Saccharomyces cerevisiae S288C: one gene and its partners. Changing the gene in region 3 together with the main gene of any one other region gives a genetic interaction. Each region holds a gene or a part of one and is shown on either strand. Other genes may lie near its edges.

Region 1 (6,238 bases), on a different chromosome or scaffold from region 3:
TGACGATAAAACTGGCCCAGGCGAGATCAGATCAGCATTTGCACGTTGCATTTTACTTGTTTTCTTATTGGCAAAGAAAAAAAGCTCGGAACAAGCCACTAATACCCGATTCTATGCTTACAGAATAACCGATACTACTGGAAAGAAAAATTTTTCACATTAGTTCGCTGCATCTCCATGATCGTTTAATTATTTTATATTTAAGAGAAGCAAATCACTTCCTCCAATGTCATGATGGTCTTGGCAATTTTCCTCCCCTTGTTGCAAAAGTGTAAAATAGGTATCCACATCATTCATAAGAAAACTACTAATATCATTTTGCCTCCTATTTGCGGCCTTGCTCACAAATTCAGCGACTGCTGATAGAATTGATGACAAGGTGAGCCCTTCATTTGATCTAAGCAAAAGAGACGAAAGCGTTGCTATCAATGGTTGTCCAAATTTGGATTTCAACTGGCACATGAGCCAACAGAATATACTACATTATGATATGGATGTTACTTCCGTATCATGGGTCAAGGATAACACATACCAGATTACTATTCATGTCAAAGCCGTAAAAGATATCCCTTTGAAATATTTATGGTCTTTAAAGATTATTGGTGTCAACGGTCCCTCAAGCACCGTACAACTTTACGGCAAAAATGAGAAGACATACCTAATCAGTGATCCAACAGATTTTACATCCACTTTTCAGGTTTATGCTTACCCTTCTTCTGACGGTTGCACAGTTTGGATGCCAAATTTCCAAATCCAGTTCGAATATCTACAAGGTGATGCTGCTCAGTACTGGCAAACTTGGCAATGGGGGACAACCACCTTCGATTTATCGACAGGTTGTAACAATTATGACAATCAAGGCCACTCACAAACGGATTTCCCTGGATTTTATTGGACCTACCAGTGCAAGGGAAACAATGATGGCACTTGTACAAAAGCCTCGTCTTCATCCATTACTACTTCATCCATTACTACTTCATCCACTACTACTTCATCCACTACTACTTCATCCACTACTACTTCATCCTCTACTACTTCATCCTCTACTACTTCATCCTCTACTACTTCATCCTCTACTACTTCATCCTCTACTACTTCATCCTCTACTACTTCATCCTCTACTACTTCATCCTCTACTACTTCATCCTCTACTACTTCATCCTCTACTACTTCATCCTCTACTACTTCATCCTCTACGAAAACTTCCACTACTACGTCATCTACTGTGAAAAGCTCTTCCACTACATCCATTGATTTTACTACTTCCGTTGACTCACATACTTCATCAAGCGTAGCCGATATTTATCGTTCAAGAACATCTACTGATGTCACCACATTAGCAGCTTCAACTAGTCCTTTCAGCAGTTTCACTTCAAGTGACTCTAGTAGTTCAAGCGATGTAACCAGTTCAACCATTCAAACTACTTCTGTTGATCCAACCACTTAAGTAGTAAGTTCAAGTTCAGAAGACCCAACTAGTTCAAGCGCTGTGACTACTTCAGTTGACCCAACTACTTCAGTTGACCCAAATACTTCAGCTGATCCAACTACCTCGACCGTTCAAACTACTTCTGTTGATCCAACTACTTCAGTTGACCCAACTAGTTCTATAGTCAGTTCTACTTCAGTTGATCCAACTACTTCAGTTGACCCAACTACTTCAGCTGACCCAACTACCTCGACCGTTCAAACTACTTCAGCTGATCCAACTACTTCCGTAGTCAGTTCAAGTTCAGCTGATCTAAGTAGCTCTGTTATCAGTTCAAGTTCAGCAGACCCAACTAGTTCAAATGCTGTGACTACTTCAATTAACCCAACTACTCCAGCTGATTCAACTACTTCGGCCGTTCAAACTAGCCCAGCTGATCCAAGTAGCTCTGTTACCATTTCTACTTCCACAGACTCTACATCTTCAATTGAGTATACTACATCGGATGATCCACACGCCTCATCAAGTTTAGCGGCTATGTATCGTACAAGAAGCTCTGACGAGGTAACCACATCAACAGATCTAACTAGCTCAAGTGACGTTGCTACTTCAGTTGACCCAACTACTTCTGTTATCAGTTCAACTTCAGCAGACCCAACTACTTCAGCTGACTCAACTACCTCGACCGTTCAAACCACTTCAGCTGGTCCAAGTAACAACATCGGCAATTCCACTTTGGCCAATTCCACTACTTTTGCAGTTAGTTCCACTTCAATTGACCCAACTAGCTCGAGCGATGTGATTACTTCAACCGTTCAAACCACTTCAATTGAACCAACTACTTCTCTCGTCAGTTCAAACGATATTACTACTTCAACAAGTCTAAATATCTCTGTCGTGATTTCCACTTCCACGGACTCTACATCTTTAATTGAGTCTACTACAACAGTTGGTCCACATGCCTCATCAAGTGTTGCTGGTATGTATCGTACAAGAAGCTCTGACGAGGTAACCACATCAACAGATCCAACTAGCTCAAGTGACGTGGCTACTTCAGCAGATCCAACTAGTTCAAGCGCTGTGACTACTTTAGTTGACCCAACTACTTCTGTAGTCATTTCAACCTCAGTTGATCAAACTAGCTCAAGTGACGTTGCTACTTCAGTTGACCCAACCACTTCTGTTATCAGTTCAACTTCAGCAGACCCAACTACTTCAGCTGACTCAACTACCTCGACCGTTCAAACTACTTCAGTTGATCCAACTAGTTCTGTAGTCAGTTCCGCTCCAGTTGATCCGGCTAGTTCTGTTGTCAGTTTAACTTCATCTTACCCAACTAGCTCAAGCACTGTGACTATTTCTGCTAATTCAAACGGTTCAGCTACTTTAGCGGCTCAAACTACTTCAATTGATCCAGTTAGCTCCATCGTTAGTTCAAGCGGTGCAACTACTATCATCAGTAGCGCCTCAATTGATCCAGCTAGTTCTGTAGTTAGTTCAACTTCATCTGAACCAACCAGTTTTATTGTCAGTTCAACCTCAGTTTATTCAACCAGACCAAGTGGTCCAACTACTTCAACAGATCTAGCTACTTTCTCTGACACAATCATTCTAAGGGTTTCAACCACTTCAACCAGCCAAGATACCCAAACAGTATCATCTAGTCTAACTGATATGGTTTCCTCAACTGGTTCAGCTGATTTGAGCGTCTCATCCATTCAAAGATCTCAAGTAGACCCAAGCACTTTCGCTGTCTCGAATAGCCCAGTATATCCAACAGCTTCGACCGGATCAACTTCCACGGGCATTCCAATTGCGTCGGAAAGTCTAAGCCTTTCTAGACAGCAAGGAATTTCGGCCACTTCAAGTTCTTCGATTGTAACTTTAACCCCAGTTGATTCGGCTTCCTCGAGTAGGTCAAGCGCAACAAGTATAATCAAGCCTAATATGCCAGTTAGCAGCAATGATTCGAAGACCCAAAGTTCTGTTTCTGTAGTTGACGCATTCCAATCAACTAAATCTTCATATCCTAGCATAACTTCAGCAGACCCAACGACTCTAGCCAGTGAAAATGGTTTAGTCGGCTCATCTTCCTCAGCTCATCCAATCACATTAGATAGAACTTATGCATCAGCTCACGCAAGCGTCACCGATATTGTCAGTAGAGTTACTGACTCGACTCGCCATACAACACTAGTAACTTCAAACATTAACATTCAGTCTGAGGTTGGGAACCCAAATTACTCGGGTCCCAAAGACACTACCATCACCAAACAATCTGCATTTATGACTTCTCCTGCATCAACGTCTACTATAAGTAACGTTCAATCAACTGCTTCCGTAATGAATCACAGTATTGAGGACAATATTTCTGCAGCTGCCTCTCTAGAAAGTGTTTCTGGTACCTCAACTAAAGATTATTCTAGTCAATCCAGTGCCATTCATTATACAAATTCCTTCACGACCACCACTACTAACGCATTTATCACATCAAAGCATTCCATTGCTGCTGTATCAACAGGAGCCATTACATCATCTGCCAGCATTTCATTAATCATGGAAGGCAGCGCAAACATTGAAGCAGTAGGAAAATTGGTGTGGCTCGCTGCCGCTCTTCCTCTAGCTTTCATTTAGTCATTCTACCATCTTTCATGTCCCTACGCCATTCTCGTTCGTATACCATATAAACCAATTATAGATTTTACATAGAATAATAGTTAAATTTGATTATAGAATATCTTCGGATTCAATAAAAAATTATTATTATCAGACTCTTTCTGTCCACTCCTTGAAGTATGCAAAGTGCTTCGAGAACGCCATGACATTCGACAATTCAAAATTGAGAGAGGACTGCTAAGGAAACTCTTTGAGTTGATTATATAATCGCTATTTAATCTTTTAAAGGGGGAATACTGCTAAATTTTCATTATTGTACAACTGGAGACATGATAGGCCTGAAATGTGCCACCAAATTGCATGACCTTGCTAATGAGGTCGCTGGGTTGCGTATGCACTTTTTACCCTGCTCCGCGTCGAAACAGAACATAATACAGAGTAAAGAGGAAAGAGCGAAAATGAAAAAGTTTCTACACTCAAAAGTCAAACCTTTTTAAAAAGTGATGTTCAGATTCCTTGTTTAAGACAAATACCATTGAGGAAGGCGATTGACCCTAACGAAGTATGTCTAGGAAAAGAAGTACTAAGCCCAAGCCAGCAGCTAAAATAGCTTTGAAAAAAGAAAATGACCAGTTCCTCGAGGCATTGAAACTATACGAAGGGAAGCAATACAAAAAATCTCTCAAGCTGCTAGACGCAATTTTGAAAAAAGACGGTAGTCACGTTGATTCCTTGGCTTTAAAGGGTCTTGATTTATATTCTGTAGGTGAGAAAGATGACGCTGCTTCCTACGTGGCTAATGCCATCAGAAAAATTGAAGGCGCTTCAGCATCACCAATCTGCTGTCATGTATTAGGTATCTACATGAGAAACACCAAAGAGTACAAAGAATCTATTAAATGGTTCACGGCAGCTTTGAACAATGGGTCCACTAACAAGCAAATATATAGAGACTTAGCAACTTTGCAATCACAAATTGGCGATTTCAAAAATGCTTTAGTGTCCAGGAAAAAATATTGGGAAGCATTCCTTGGTTACCGTGCCAACTGGACATCATTGGCTGTGGCACAAGATGTGAACGGTGAGAGGCAACAAGCTATTAACACTTTATCTCAGTTTGAAAAACTCGCTGAGGGAAAAATATCTGATTCCGAGAAATATGAACACAGCGAGTGTTTAATGTACAAAAACGACATTATGTATAAAGCTGCCAGTGATAACCAAGACAAGTTACAAAATGTATTGAAACATTTGAATGATATCGAGCCATGCGTCTTTGATAAATTTGGTTTATTAGAGAGAAAAGCAACTATTTACATGAAATTGGGTCAATTGAAAGACGCGTCCATTGTTTATAGAACTCTGATCAAGAGAAATCCAGATAATTTTAAGTACTACAAATTACTGGAAGTATCCTTGGGAATCCAAGGTGACAATAAATTGAAGAAGGCTTTGTATGGAAAACTTGAACAATTTTATCCAAGATGCGAACCACCCAAATTTATTCCATTAACTTTCCTTCAAGACAAAGAAGAGCTCAGCAAAAAATTGAGAGAATATGTTTTGCCTCAATTGGAGCGCGGTGTTCCAGCAACTTTTTCCAACGTGAAACCCCTTTACCAAAGAAGGAAGTCCAAGGTTTCACCACTATTGGAGAAAATTGTCCTTGATTATTTGTCCGGATTAGATCCTACGCAGGATCCAATTCCTTTTATTTGGACCAATTATTACTTGTCTCAACATTTCCTTTTCCTTAAGGATTTTCCGAAAGCCCAAGAATATATTGATGCTGCCCTTGACCACACCCCAACTTTAGTTGAGTTTTACATCCTCAAGGCACGTATCCTGAAGCACTTAGGCCTAATGGACACAGCGGCTGGAATTTTGGAGGAAGGTAGGCAACTTGATTTGCAGGATAGATTTATCAACTGTAAAACGGTTAAGTACTTTTTAAGGGCTAACAATATCGACAAGGCGGTGGAAGTCGCGTCCCTTTTCACCAAAAACGATGATTCTGTTAATGGTATTAAGGACTTACACCTTGTGGAAGCTTCTTGGTTCATCGTAGAACAGGCAGAAGCCTATTATAGACTATACCTGGATAGAAAAAAGAAATTAGACGATTTAGCATCGCTAAAAAAAGAGGTTGAAAGTGATAAAAGCGAACAAATTGCGAATGATATCAAAGAAAAC
Region 2 (4,562 bases), on a different chromosome or scaffold from region 3:
CAAGCAATGTCTTTCTGATTCAAGTGATAGTGGTAGTGATGTAAGCTTTTTTTCCGTAAATGAAAGCGAAGGTGAATTGGATACAATGGAGAAAGTGGATACCTTGATTGGAGGTGCAAGAGTTATAAGCAATAAAGTAGAAAAAGACAGCGATAGTGAACAAAGGGGAAGAAAGAAGGAAACAACTGGGCCCAATAACTATCATAATTTAGAAGAGAAGCAAGCGAGTGCCATTTCTCTTGACGCTGATGATGAAGATCTCGATGAAATTATTTCTTATTCGCATGACGGGAACTATGACAGCTCTCATAAAACTTTCTCCTTTTCCTTACCATTTGGTAATACAAATTTCCGATCAAGTTCACCATTAGCCATAATTAAAACTGTGCTTCCCAAGACTCCAGATGAGTTCATCAAAAAGAATCTAAGAAAGAATGAGATCAAGCAAAAACTGAAAAAATCAACCTCCATTTCTTCCTTGGAAGAGATAGAATTATTTAAATACGAAAGGGGCATTGATAATTCAAGGTTAAGGGCTGTTAAAGAATCTTTGGAAATGGATGCCTTGAAGAACTCCATTAAGCAAATAACAGCAGACCCATTCGACAAAACTCATGACGGATATTACCGTTCGCGTTTAGAATCTATATGGAATGAATTGGAAGGAGATGTCGTTATAATGGGTGGATATCGAGGTAGTGTGCTAAGGGATGCTACTACTCATAAGCGAATTTGGATCCCATTAAAGGCAGGTTTGAATATGACGAAAGTCGATTTATTGATCGGACCTAATGACGAAGATGAACTTAAAACTCAGAAGGAGATTGTCCCTGATGGAATGCTAACACATATAGGGCCTGTTGATATCTCTAAGAGGTTGATAAAGAGGCTAGACGCAAATCCTAATTTAAATGTTCAGCAGTTTGGCTATGATTGGAGATTATCCTTGGACATATCTGCCAAGCATTTAACGACTAAACTAGAGGAAATTTACAATAAGCAAAAAAATAAGAAGGGAATATACATCATTGCCCATTCAATGGGCGGATTGGTCGCACATAAAGTGTTGCAAGACTGTACTCATTTGATAAGAGGTATTATTTACGTGGGTTCCCCAAGCCAATGTCCAAATATTTTAGGTCCTATTAGGTTTGGAGATGATGTGATGTGGAATAAAACTATTTTCACTAAAGAAACCAACTTTTTTATGAGAAGTAGTTTCTATTTTCTACCGTTAGATGGTAGATGTTTTGTTGACAAAATTACCTTAGAGAGGTATGATTTCGATTTTTTTGATACAGATGTTTGGAAAACCCTTGGCTTGTCACCTCTCGTCAATGAGAAAAGAGAGGAATCAGCTCACGAAAAATCAAAATTATTACCAAGGAAAACGAAATCAGCGCTTTCGCTTAAAGCTACCCTAAACGCAACTACCAAGTTTGTCCTAAATGCACCTGTTGTTAGGAATGTAGCCGGCAATAATAAACAGGTACCAAGGGATGTGCCTTTCGATGAAGTCTTCCATACATCTTATGAAGATAGCTGTGAATATTTAGCGAGAACTTTAAAACGTACAAAGAATTATTTGGATAGCTTAGATTACGACCCGAACAAAGAATATCCTCCATTGGCCATGGTTTACGGTAACAAGGTTCCCACTGTTAGAGGTGCTAAAGTGAACGGTATACAAGATATAAAAGATGGGAATTATGAAGATTTTTACTATGGTCCGGGCGACGGTGTTGTTCACCATAAATGGTTATTGCCTGAACAGAGAGGCTTTCCAGTTGTTTGTAAAATCGCCAGTTCTTCAGGTCATGTTAGCTTAATGACGGATTTGAAATCAATGGCAAAAGCATTCATATCTATCGTCGACAGCGAAAAAGAAGGAAGAAGATCTCGAACACGAACTTCTTCATGAAAGGCTTTTTATTCCTTTGTTTACTATTCATATCTGCATTTTTCTTTTTACCAAAATTCCGCATGTCAAAAAAAATCTGGCAACGCACCGCGAATAAAAATAAATAATATTTTTTTATCTTTAGTTGCCTAAATACTATTTATTTCGTCAATTTTACAACCTCTTTTATATACACCATTCGATTTCCCACGAAGTAAAATAATAATTCTATAAACAGATTTATCTGATATGCTCAATTTCCCCTCCCATTTTCATTATTGTCCTTCTTGCTCTTCCTCGATGTCAAAATTAACCTTCAGCCATAAGCTGCATGCGCTACATTGGGTTAATAATTGATAACCAGAATGACTCCGTTCCATAGCGTCTACATTATCAATGCATTCATCTAACAAACTCTCACTAAAATGAAAACCACCAACAAATTGACAGCGAGGACAATTCATCATAAACTCCAGCTTATCTTCATCAAATGAGAAATCGTCTAAGGAAAATTCATCCAGCCCATCACCACAATTATGAAATCCTTGGCGTTTATAGTTTTCAAGGATCAACCTATCATATTCGCGACGAGTTTTTATATTCGATAGTATTTTATAAGCATCTTGAATCTTATTGATTGTGACGTTGCTAACCGTATCATGTATGCTTTTAGAAAGTTTATCGGGGTGCGTATTTAGTAACCGATTCCTATATGCCTTTTTGATTTCATCTTGTGTTGCATCCGATGGAATTCTTAAAATTTCGTAGTGTGTTAACGAATTCACCAATGACATTTTCGCTAAATTTTCACACCAAAAGAAAGATTAAATTGGAGATAAATACAATACAAAGAGCGTGGTAAATTTCTTAGTTGATTGCGCTTATCTTTTGGCACCGATAGTGGTTTTTACAATGGTAAGACTAGTAACGTCACATCGAAGTCATCGCATCCATTTACAATTTTTCTGAAAATTTCCATCTCCAGTTACCCGCTCATAAATCTTCAAGAAAAGTCAATGATTTCCTTTTCTACCTCTAGCAGCTCCTTTAATCTTTGATTTAGATCGAAAGTCCTGAAAAAGCTACATGTAATATTAATACTTTGTGAAACGTAAACTAATTATATGTTCTATATACGTTATTCTACGGTTCGCATTTTCTTTTTATGGCGCGTCTGTGCATTCCCAATCGGTAGGCTCATAAGCATCAGGATGATCAAGAAATTTCATCTGTTCGTCTGACAGTTCAAAGTTGTAGGCTGCAAGGTTACCTTCTAACCTCTTCACAGTTTTAGTCTTCGGTAGTGGTAAATAACCGTGTTGTAAAGACCAACGAATCAAAACTTGACCTGGATTACGGTCCACCTCTTTGCAAACTTTTAATAAATCTGGATTAGTCATTTTGTAGCCGTGACACAATGGGGCAAAGGCTTCGACGACGAGACCTTTAGATTTACAGTAATCTGCTAATTCTTGTCTCATAATCCAAGGTGATATCTCGATTTGGTTGACCACTGGCTTGTGCTTCAGTTCTGGCCAGTTCAAAAGTTCATCAATGTGCTTTTTCCCATAGTTGGAAACCCCTATAGACTTAACCAATCCTTCATCAACCGCTTCTTGCATGGCGCGCCAAGTTTCCAACCTTAATTTAGAACCTTCCAGTGGCGAATGAATCAAAAGAAGATCGATGTATTGCAAGCCCGAGACTTCATTCAAACATTGCCGAATGGCAGCTTTAGCTCTTTTATATCCGTTTTGCGAATTCCATAATTTAGTAGTGTAGAAGATTTCCTCACGTTTATGGTTCCCTGGATCTTCGTTCAACCATTTAATGATACCATCGCCAACTTCCTTCTCATTACCATAAAGAACAGCAGTATCGAAATGACGGTAGCCGCACTTGACACCTTCATACACAATTTCGGCTGTTTGCGATCTTGGAATATCGTAGGTTCCCAAAGCAATGCTTGGGATTTTGAAGCCGTTTGAAAGTTTGTAAAACTTAGGAACCATGTTGTTGAGGTGAATTTTTTTTCTTCCTTCGGGCTAGGTATGCTAAGTTAATTACTAAAGTAAGATCAGTTGCTTATGCTCTTATATATTGGAGGTTGCGACAAGGGATGAAAGAAAGAGACACCTCCCCTCATATCGACACGACGGAATATGTATGATAACTACTTCATTGTTCTTTTCAGCACATTATTACTATTTACGAAAAAAGGGAGTAGGGAAAAATGGCGCGCTTATGGAGCCTCAAATAAGGACAAAAAAGTCAAGTAATGAATATCAAATTGAAATGAGTATGCTTACATAGATTTATTTGGTTTGTTTTCATTTTGTTTTTGTTTCTTATGTTGCTGCTTTATTTTGTGTAGGTAATAAGGAAGAATAGGGCGATTAATAATTGATCTTCTAGCCTATTTCTATTTTTTCTTTATTTCATTTTGTAGTCCCATTGTTCATCATCTACTTTAATGGCTTTGGCTTTGGTGTGTCATTCTTCTTGAATATACCCAAATTTTCTAAATGCTCCCTTACATATTCATAAACGGTAAAGGTGACAGCCTGACCTGGAGCCACCCTCATCACTCTTGGGGTAATACCCTTGTACAAAGCTCTAAAACCTTCTTCTTTCAGTAGTTGAGCACCAATGGTTATGATTT
Region 3 (9,293 bases):
GTGCGTATCTATGTGTGTGTATTCTATAAGAGTACAAAAAAAAACTGTATATTGTTGTCCTAATTCTATAACTTTTCCATTTGGCTTATCCTTACTTACAGCCACAGAGCTTCTATTCTGTCTCTTCGAGATTTAACCGGCTGGGCCGACAAGAAAAACGGTAGAGCACCATGTGAATATTATACCATAAAGAACAAAGAACAAGAGAACGATCTGTTGGTGGTGTTCTAAAGTGAAGGAGGTTACCAATCGCTTAGAAGAAGACTGGCCTATGGAATTCATATCTGCAGACTATTCTAGCAGTGACGGTAGTGATACCGAGAGCGAAAGTAGTAACAAAAGTGAGGTCCAAATCGAATACACGGAGAAAACTTGCATACAGAAAGCCGATTCCACTGATTTACCTGCAATACCGGATTCAATTATATTGAAGTACCACATCCCTCCGAATTTACAAAAGTACGAGCACCAGGATATGAATATGAGTCGATTTTGGCGTTCGTTCACATATTTTGAGTGGCGTCCGACTCCAGCGATTCACCGACAACTTCAGAAAATCATATGTAAATATAAAGAAACATTTATGAAACAGGAATACACTAATCCGTATCAACTGGTGGATTTTGACCCGTTGTTCATCTCACACTTGGGAGCCCCCAAACCTTTACACGTTTCCTTAACTCGATCGTTGTTGTTTGAAACTGAAGAACAAAGACATGTTTTCATTCAAGAAATGCGTAATGGTTTACGAAATAATGAAATAACCCCTTTTAAACTTCAAATCTGCTCATATCCGAAGTTATATATATCAGAACGAGCCAACACCTTGTACCTCGGTCTCCCTGTCTCAGAATGTCCCAATAAGGCACAAATTTCTCCTTTCAAAACGATAATAGCTGAGGCACTTCAGAAATCAGGCATTTCAAACTATCAGGATTTAATTGTAAGTAGGCAAAATTTACATGTTTCAATTGCCATCGCTAGCAACCCTTCAAAAGCCACATTAAAACGTTATCAACAATTAAACGAGACGATGGGGGCGCTTTTACTACTCAATAATGACTTTGCATACAAACTAGAGTTCTTAGTTAACTCTATCTATTGTGATGAAAACCGTCACTCCATTAGAATCCCTTTTAACTAATAGTGTTATAGGAATAGCCGCCCAAAAATACCGGGGCACTGAGAGCGGCTCGTCAGATAGGTGAAGGTTGTCATAATATACGATATATATCTCAAAACGGCAAAATGTAAACATTGGCACTTTGGGAAAATTTCAGGACACTTTTGGTTTACAGGTAAAGGATAAGGATGCTTGTAGCTAGTAAATCAACTCCAGAAAGCATTTAGCCATTAACGGGCAAATATTAAGGAGGGAGTACTGTTTGTTTACTCGCAATATTTCTGTCCCTTTTCTTTCATTAAGGGTTTTATAGTACACATAAACTTATAACAACCTCTCTCGGCATTGTACCTAGCAAACAAAAGCTACGTTGCAGGGAGACTCAAGCAACAGTTAAAGTGCTAGAAGAAAAAAATACAAGGCATAAATTCAAGAAATAACTAAAGAAATCTATAGGACCAAAAACGGTGTTAATACAATCATGGATAACGTTGTAGATCCGTGGTATATAAATCCCTCAGGCTTCGCGAAAGACACTCAAGATGAGGAGTATGTTCAACATCATGATAATGTCAATCCTACCATACCCCCACCCGACAATTATATTTTGAATAATGAAAACGATGATGGCCTCGATAACTTGTTAGGTATGGACTACTATAACATCGATGACCTGTTGACTCAAGAGTTAAGAGATCTGGATATTCCTTTAGTGCCTTCTCCTAAGACGGGCGATGGTTCTTCTGATAAAAAGAATATTGATAGAACTTGGAACCTTGGTGATGAAAACAACAAAGTCTCCCACTATAGCAAAAAATCAATGTCCTCACACAAGAGAGGTCTAAGTGGCACAGCGATATTTGGATTTCTCGGCCATAATAAGACATTGAGTATTTCCAGTTTACAGCAATCCATTCTAAATATGTCTAAAGATCCGCAACCCATGGAACTCATAAATGAATTGGGTAATCATAATACGGTAAAAAATAACAATGATGACTTTGACCATATAAGGGAAAATGATGGTGAAAATAGCTATTTGAGCCAAGTTTTGTTGAAACAGCAGGAGGAGTTAAGAATTGCTCTTGAAAAACAAAAGGAAGTGAACGAAAAATTGGAGAAGCAGTTGAGAGACAATCAAATACAGCAAGAAAAGTTGCGTAAAGTATTAGAAGAGCAAGAAGAGGTGGCGCAGAAGTTGGTTTCTGGGGCTACAAATTCTAATTCCAAACCTGGATCTCCAGTAATACTAAAGACACCTGCCATGCAAAACGGTAGAATGAAAGATAATGCTATAATCGTCACAACGAACTCTGCAAATGGCGGATATCAATTTCCTCCTCCGACGTTAATATCGCCTCGGATGTCAAATACTTCAATAAATGGTTCACCATCCAGGAAATACCATAGGCAACGATATCCAAATAAAAGCCCAGAAAGTAATGGATTGAACCTTTTTTCCTCTAACAGTGGTTATTTGAGAGATTCTGAACTGCTTTCATTTTCTCCACAAAATTATAATTTAAACTTGGACGGCTTGACTTATAATGACCATAATAACACCAGTGATAAAAACAATAATGATAAAAAAAATAGTACTGGTGATAACATATTCCGTCTGTTCGAAAAGACTTCCCCGGGTGGGCTAAGTATCTCTCCAAGGATAAATGGAAATAGTTTGAGATCGCCCTTCCTCGTCGGCACAGATAAAAGCAGGGATGATCGATATGCTGCTGGCACGTTCACGCCTAGAACACAGTTGTCACCTATCCACAAGAAAAGGGAATCCGTAGTTTCCACGGTCTCGACAATATCACAACTGCAGGATGACACTGAACCCATCCACATGCGAAATACCCAGAACCCAACATTAAGAAATGCAAACGCTTTAGCGTCATCAAGTGTACTACCTCCTATTCCTGGTTCCAGCAATAACACTCCAATTAAGAATTCTTTGCCACAAAAACATGTATTTCAACATACTCCCGTCAAAGCTCCACCAAAGAACGGAAGTAACCTAGCTCCGCTTCTAAATGCACCGGATTTAACAGATCATCAGTTAGAAATTAAGACACCCATACGAAATAACAGTCACTGTGAAGTGGAAAGCTATCCGCAAGTACCACCTGTCACACATGATATTCACAAAAGCCCCACTTTGCATAGTACGTCTCCTTTACCAGATGAAATAATACCTAGGACTACGCCAATGAAAATAACCAAGAAACCAACTACTCTGCCTCCGGGTACCATTGACCAGTACGTCAAGGAACTACCCGACAAACTATTCGAGTGCTTATACCCTAACTGTAACAAAGTATTCAAGCGTAGATACAACATAAGGTCGCATATTCAGACACATTTGCAAGATAGACCGTATTCATGCGACTTTCCCGGTTGCACCAAGGCGTTTGTTCGCAATCATGATTTAATAAGACACAAAATCTCCCATAATGCCAAGAAATACATCTGCCCATGCGGAAAGAGATTTAATAGGGAGGATGCTCTAATGGTGCATAGAAGTCGGATGATTTGCACCGGCGGTAAGAAATTAGAACATTCGATCAACAAGAAACTTACATCTCCCAAAAAAAGCCTGCTTGACAGCCCGCATGACACAAGTCCCGTAAAAGAAACTATCGCCCGGGATAAAGATGGGAGCGTCCTAATGAAAATGGAGGAACAGCTGCGAGATGATATGCGCAAACATGGATTACTGGATCCACCCCCATCCACAGCAGCGCACGAGCAAAACTCGAACCGCACCCTTTCAAACGAAACTGATGCTCTCTGACGAACATTTATCTATGCATGATATTAACATAATAAATAATAGTAACAATAATATAATACATTTATTTCTTTACGATTTACGTACACTGTAGTCTTAAGGGCCAAAAAAGGCAATAGTCATCGTTTATAGGGACATAACCCTAAAGGTTATATGCGACTCCTTCTCGAAAATGAAAATTTTTCACAACCTTTAGGGTACATTGCCCTTTAACTACTACAAACCAGCTTCACACATCCTTTGGTAAAACACAGTGTGACGATTTTAAATGACGCAACCTTTTGGGAGACACGATCTAAAACCCACTATATATGATGATACTGTTTATTGAATCATACACCCTGTTGGTTAGACCGGAAGAAAGCTAAAGTTGATCTCCGAAAATACAACGGTGCATCAACCAAAGAAAACATTGCAGGCGTTTCCAAGTGACACTGCATATTCGAAAGTATGGTTGATCTTATAGCGAGGGATGACTCCGTAGATACTTGCCAAGCTTCTAACGGCTACAATGGGCACGCAGGTCTTAGAATTCTGGCAGTATTCATTATACTGATATCGTCAGGATTGGGAGTTTATTTCCCAATTTTGTCATCACGGTATTCGTTTATAAGGCTACCAAATTGGTGCTTTTTCATAGCGAAGTTCTTCGGTTCTGGTGTCATTGTTGCCACAGCGTTCGTTCATCTTCTACAGCCCGCAGCCGAAGCTCTGGGAGATGAATGTCTTGGTGGCACATTTGCCGAATATCCATGGGCTTTTGGGATCTGTTTAATGTCGCTTTTCTTACTTTTCTTCACTGAAATCATCACGCATTATTTTGTAGCGAAAACGCTGGGACACGATCATGGGGACCATGGGGAAGTTACCAGTATTGATGTTGATGCTCCCAGTTCGGGATTTGTCATCAGAAATATGGACTCGGATCCTGTATCTTTCAATAACGAAGCTGCCTACTCCATCCATAATGACAAAACTCCGTACACTACTAGAAATGAAGAGATTGTCGCTACTCCTATAAAGGAAAAAGAACCCGGCTCAAATGTTACTAATTATGATCTGGAACCGGGAAAAACAGAGTCACTAGCTAATGAACTAGTTCCAACCAGTTCCCATGCGACAAATCTCGCTTCTGTACCTGGAAAAGATCATTATTCTCACGAAAATGACCATCAAGATGTCTCCCAGTTGGCCACACGTATCGAGGAGGAAGATAAAGAGCAGTATCTCAATCAGATACTAGCTGTTTTTATTCTAGAATTTGGCATCATCTTTCACTCTGTATTTGTGGGTCTTTCGCTATCTGTCGCGGGTGAAGAATTCGAAACCTTATTTATCGTTTTAACTTTCCACCAAATGTTCGAAGGTTTGGGTCTAGGCACAAGAGTTGCCGAAACGAATTGGCCAGAAAGTAAGAAGTACATGCCTTGGTTAATGGGATTAGCCTTCACTTTAACGTCACCCATAGCAGTCGCGGTAGGTATTGGTGTCAGACACTCTTGGATACCTGGCTCTAGAAGAGCATTAATTGCTAATGGTGTTTTTGACTCGATATCATCAGGAATTCTTATTTATACTGGACTAGTCGAATTAATGGCTCATGAATTCTTATACTCTAATCAATTCAAAGGACCTGATGGCCTCAAAAAAATGCTTAGTGCATATCTCATCATGTGTTGTGGAGCTGCTTTAATGGCTCTTCTAGGGAAATGGGCATAGTATCTCACGTATATTTTGTTAGATTAGATAGTTATTCATTATCAAAAAAAAAAAAATGCATGACCTATAATTTTACAACTGCTCTGCAGAGACGAGAGACATCTCGCAAAAAACAGCATATGTCAGCGACCAATAAGTATAAAAAACACATATTCCGTTATTTGGATATGCCCATTATTACCGAAGGGCAATCGGAATGACAATTTTTATGATTGGAATTGTATAATATACAGATAATTTAATCTATCCTTTTGAAGTGTGAAAAGGGCAGAGTAATGCCGGTATTATGTAGGATAATAGTTTTATTATATAACGGTCCCGAAAACTCTCTTCCTTGCACTATTACTCTCTTTCTCCTGTTGGTCATATTCGTCAACGAATTCGTAGTTATGCCTTAGATTCCATTGTTGCTTGACGAATTTCAACCCTTGAACATTAAAGCCTAGATCATCCTCGGTAGATTTTAATGCACTTCTTAATTCAGTCTTTACTCTATTTATTTGCAATTTCAATTCTTCATTTTTCTGAGAAACCAATTCTTTATGATTAAATTTGATAATGAAAAATAAATTCTTGCAAATTAATGGTAAGTGAGAGTGCAGCAAAGTTTTGTTTTGCATAACGGTATCAATAAATTTTAAAAATTTGAGGACATATGAGAATGGCATAACCATCAGTGCATCTTCTAACTGAGACATTCTTATTCTTAACAGGGTATCCATAATATATTGCTCAGGAGTTTTATTCACAGCAATTAGAACAGCGTTACCCTGTGGTTTTATTGGCGCTTCACCCAACTTCTTTCTTTGCCATAGCTTCATATCTCTGTTATATGCCTCTAAACCTTCAATCTCAGCAATTCCTAAATCTAGCGCCTCCATAAGTCTTTCACCAGCCTTTAACGATTCTAAAGTCTGTTTATGAACACCGGATGCTTCATCTTCAACGCCTTCACCCGATGCATCAGCTTTAAATGCATCATCACCGTTTCCTTCTTCCAAAGAAGTTAGCAATGTATCCTCGTACTGTTCTTCAAGTTCTTTCTCCTTTTCCTCTTCTAAAAATACCTGGTCCTCGGTTTCTTCCCAGATTCTTATACTGTGATCATGGGATGAAGAAACAACAAAGCCGCCATCAGTAGCAACCGCCAAAGCCCAAACTTCGCTCTGATGAGCGTATAGTTTTTGAATGCATTCAAATTTCTCGCCATCCCAATATTTCACCACTGCGTCTTTAGAACAACTAAAGAAGTTGTGAGACTGTGGTAAGAATTTAACGTTCATAATCGAATCCTGATGGGCAAATAAAGACTTGTGACAGTCACCAAAATCTAAACCCCAAATCTTGATATTTTTGTCTGCGGAAGACGTAATAATCATCTTAGAATCAAATGAAATATCGATAGATAGTACAGGTAATTTGTGCCCATATAAACTTAGGTAAAACTTCATTGAGTCCAAAAAGAATACCTTAACAGTATTATCCAGCAACGAGATGGCTAGATATCTATCGTCAGGAGAAACCCGTACACATAAAATGTCGTCAGTTAATTCCAAAGTTGTATCATGGTGCAGTTTTAAAACAGGCAGGAATTTGTTCTTGGTACCTGGCACTAGGCTATTTTCAACTTTGAAATCCCAAAACTTGACAGTTTTATCGGCAGATCCGGTCACTAATCGTTTACCATCTGAGGTCAGATCTAGCGACCAAATTGCCGCATCATGTGCATCTTCAATGGTATCCAAAAGACTTGATGATGCTAGATCAAAGAGCTGTAACTCCCCGTTTCTTGTACCCAGTATGACTAGTAGCCCACCTGGCAAAAACTTACAAGTTAATGCATACCCACATTCGAAAGTTCTGATACATTTATGTGTTTTGATATTCCATATTTTCAATGAACCATTGGATGCTGTGGCAAGTAATTTGTTATCATCACTGATGTCAATACTACGCACATCCGTTCTTTGCCCTTGCAATTCAATAGTATGTGTCTTGAGAGGAGCAGGGCTTGTTGGGTCTCTTTTTTCATATGGAATGGAATAATACTCTATGGTATTACTCGATGTAGTTAATACCAACTCAAGTTTGGAACTTGAGACCGTTGTCCATGATGCAGATTTTATTTTATACAATGATCTTATGGTTTGAAAAGGATGCAATATAAAGGAGGAGTAGGATTCTTTAATAGATTTTGCAATTTCTTCTTCTGTCAACCCCTTTTCTTTTAGCCTCTTCTCTCTTTTCTTTAAACCTCTTGCTATTTCTTCTTCTTTTCTAATTCTGAAAGTCTCGATGGTTTTATCAGCATTTTGGATGTAAAAAAAAGAGGTTTTGTCAGACGAATTTGTTATGAACTCAATCTTTAACCCACGTTGCTTACTTTGCTTTTCGAAAATACCCATCTCTGTTAGTTTCCCCCCCATTTTGTCATTTTCTATATCCAGTTTCCAAATTTTTACTTGACTATCAGTACCAGTTGTGATCAGTAAATCATCCTTCACTGCAAGGCCCCAACACTCTCCAGTATGCGCAATATGTGTCTCTATACATTGATGTGTTTTTAGGTCCCATAGCTTGATCATTCCATCTTTGGAGGTGCTGATCAGCCAATCTTCTCCTTGACACCAAAAGCCAGTAATGGAATCCTTGTGTGATCTAAGTTTATAAAGACCAACTTCTCCAACAAGATCCCATACAATGATATTGGAGTCCTTGGAACCAGAAATTAATCTTGTGCCAGTCCCATCAAATTGTAATAATGTTATAGCTGCTTTGTGACCGTTAAAATTCAAAAGCACAGTCTTAGACATCAAATCCCAAACTTTAATGACACCATCTGCGTAACCGACAGCTAATAAATCCGTATCTTTATGAGCCTCCAAATATGTACACTCGGCTGGCTTGGCGCCTCTAGCATCAGATGCGCCTGGAGGTAAGCCATCGGATAATTTACTGACCAAATCCCCGGTCTTAATATCCCATATATTAACGTCCTCGAGAGCACTCGTAATCAATTGTCCTGGTCCACTACCATTACTATTTCCGGATGACGCAGGTATCCAAACACAATTGGCATTGGAGGCTATTACACCAAAAGCAGCTGCTTGCTCAAAACGTTGGTATGATTTGACCATAATAGCTCTTATTCCAGTTTCTCTGGTCCTTCTAGTGGCTACTCTGATATACGTACGACCTTATACAATATCTACATCTATATTATGAGGGAACTGAAAATTTCTGAAAAATTTTCCACTGCTCATCGCGTTTTTTATTTCCGCCTTATTCCCATCTATCTTAGAAGGGTAACGTATTCCATGCAATATTAAACAGCATACCCTTAAGTATATGAAAGGATGTTTATTGCTGATCCTGTAAGCACTCATAGAACTCATCGATAATAAATGGCCAGGCTGCAGTTTCGTCGTAATCGCTTATTATTTTCTGAATAGTGGGGTATCGTTTGAAAAAGAGGAGCAGCATACGCCAGGTGTCTTTACTTATAGTGGTTTTCCCCTCATCGCGAAGGAAACGGAACCATGCCTCAAGCAAATCTGGTTCCATACGCACTGGGTACTCTGGTTGGAAAAATAGCTTCCAATACTGGATGCCTTCGTCTGTATCTATATCCTTTCGATTTGGGTCCAGAATCAAATTGAA

What was found.
Region 1: mutations in ACE2 (region 3) and PRM7 together harm fitness more than expected from each alone (negative genetic interaction), as found in Saccharomyces cerevisiae (2 studies listed by BioGRID).
Region 2: mutations in ACE2 (region 3) and JJJ3 together harm fitness more than expected from each alone (negative genetic interaction), as found in Saccharomyces cerevisiae (2 studies listed by BioGRID).

Annotation. Positions count from the first base shown.
Region 1 is NC_001136.10:379,810-386,047, reverse strand, and holds PRM7 (pheromone-regulated protein PRM7), read left to right. Parts: upstream 1-1,966; coding exon 1,967-4,063; downstream 4,064-6,238. Other genes in the region: BSC1 (Bsc1p), read left to right, coding at 461-1,447; peptide alpha-N-acetyltransferase complex A subunit NAT1, read left to right, coding at 4,610-6,238.
Region 2 is NC_001142.9:610,545-615,106, reverse strand, and holds JJJ3 (Jjj3p), read right to left. Parts: upstream 2,695-4,562; coding exon 2,176-2,694; downstream 1-2,175. Other genes in the region: YJR098C (uncharacterized protein), read left to right, coding at 1-1,921; YJR096W (aldo-keto reductase superfamily protein), read right to left, coding at 3,064-3,912; SFC1 (Sfc1p), read right to left, coding at 4,366-4,562.
Region 3 is NC_001144.5:399,134-408,426, reverse strand, and holds ACE2 (DNA-binding transcription factor ACE2), read left to right. Parts: upstream 1-1,604; coding exon 1,605-3,917; downstream 3,918-9,293. Other genes in the region: USB1 (phosphoric diester hydrolase), read left to right, coding at 272-1,144; low-affinity Zn(2+) transporter ZRT2, read left to right, coding at 4,365-5,633; snoRNA-binding rRNA-processing protein DIP2, read right to left, coding at 5,939-8,770; NEDD8 ligase DCN1, read right to left, coding at 8,994-9,293. UniProt on the Saccharomyces cerevisiae protein: Plays a role in regulating basal-level expression of CUP1. Activates EGT2 transcription in the absence of SWI5.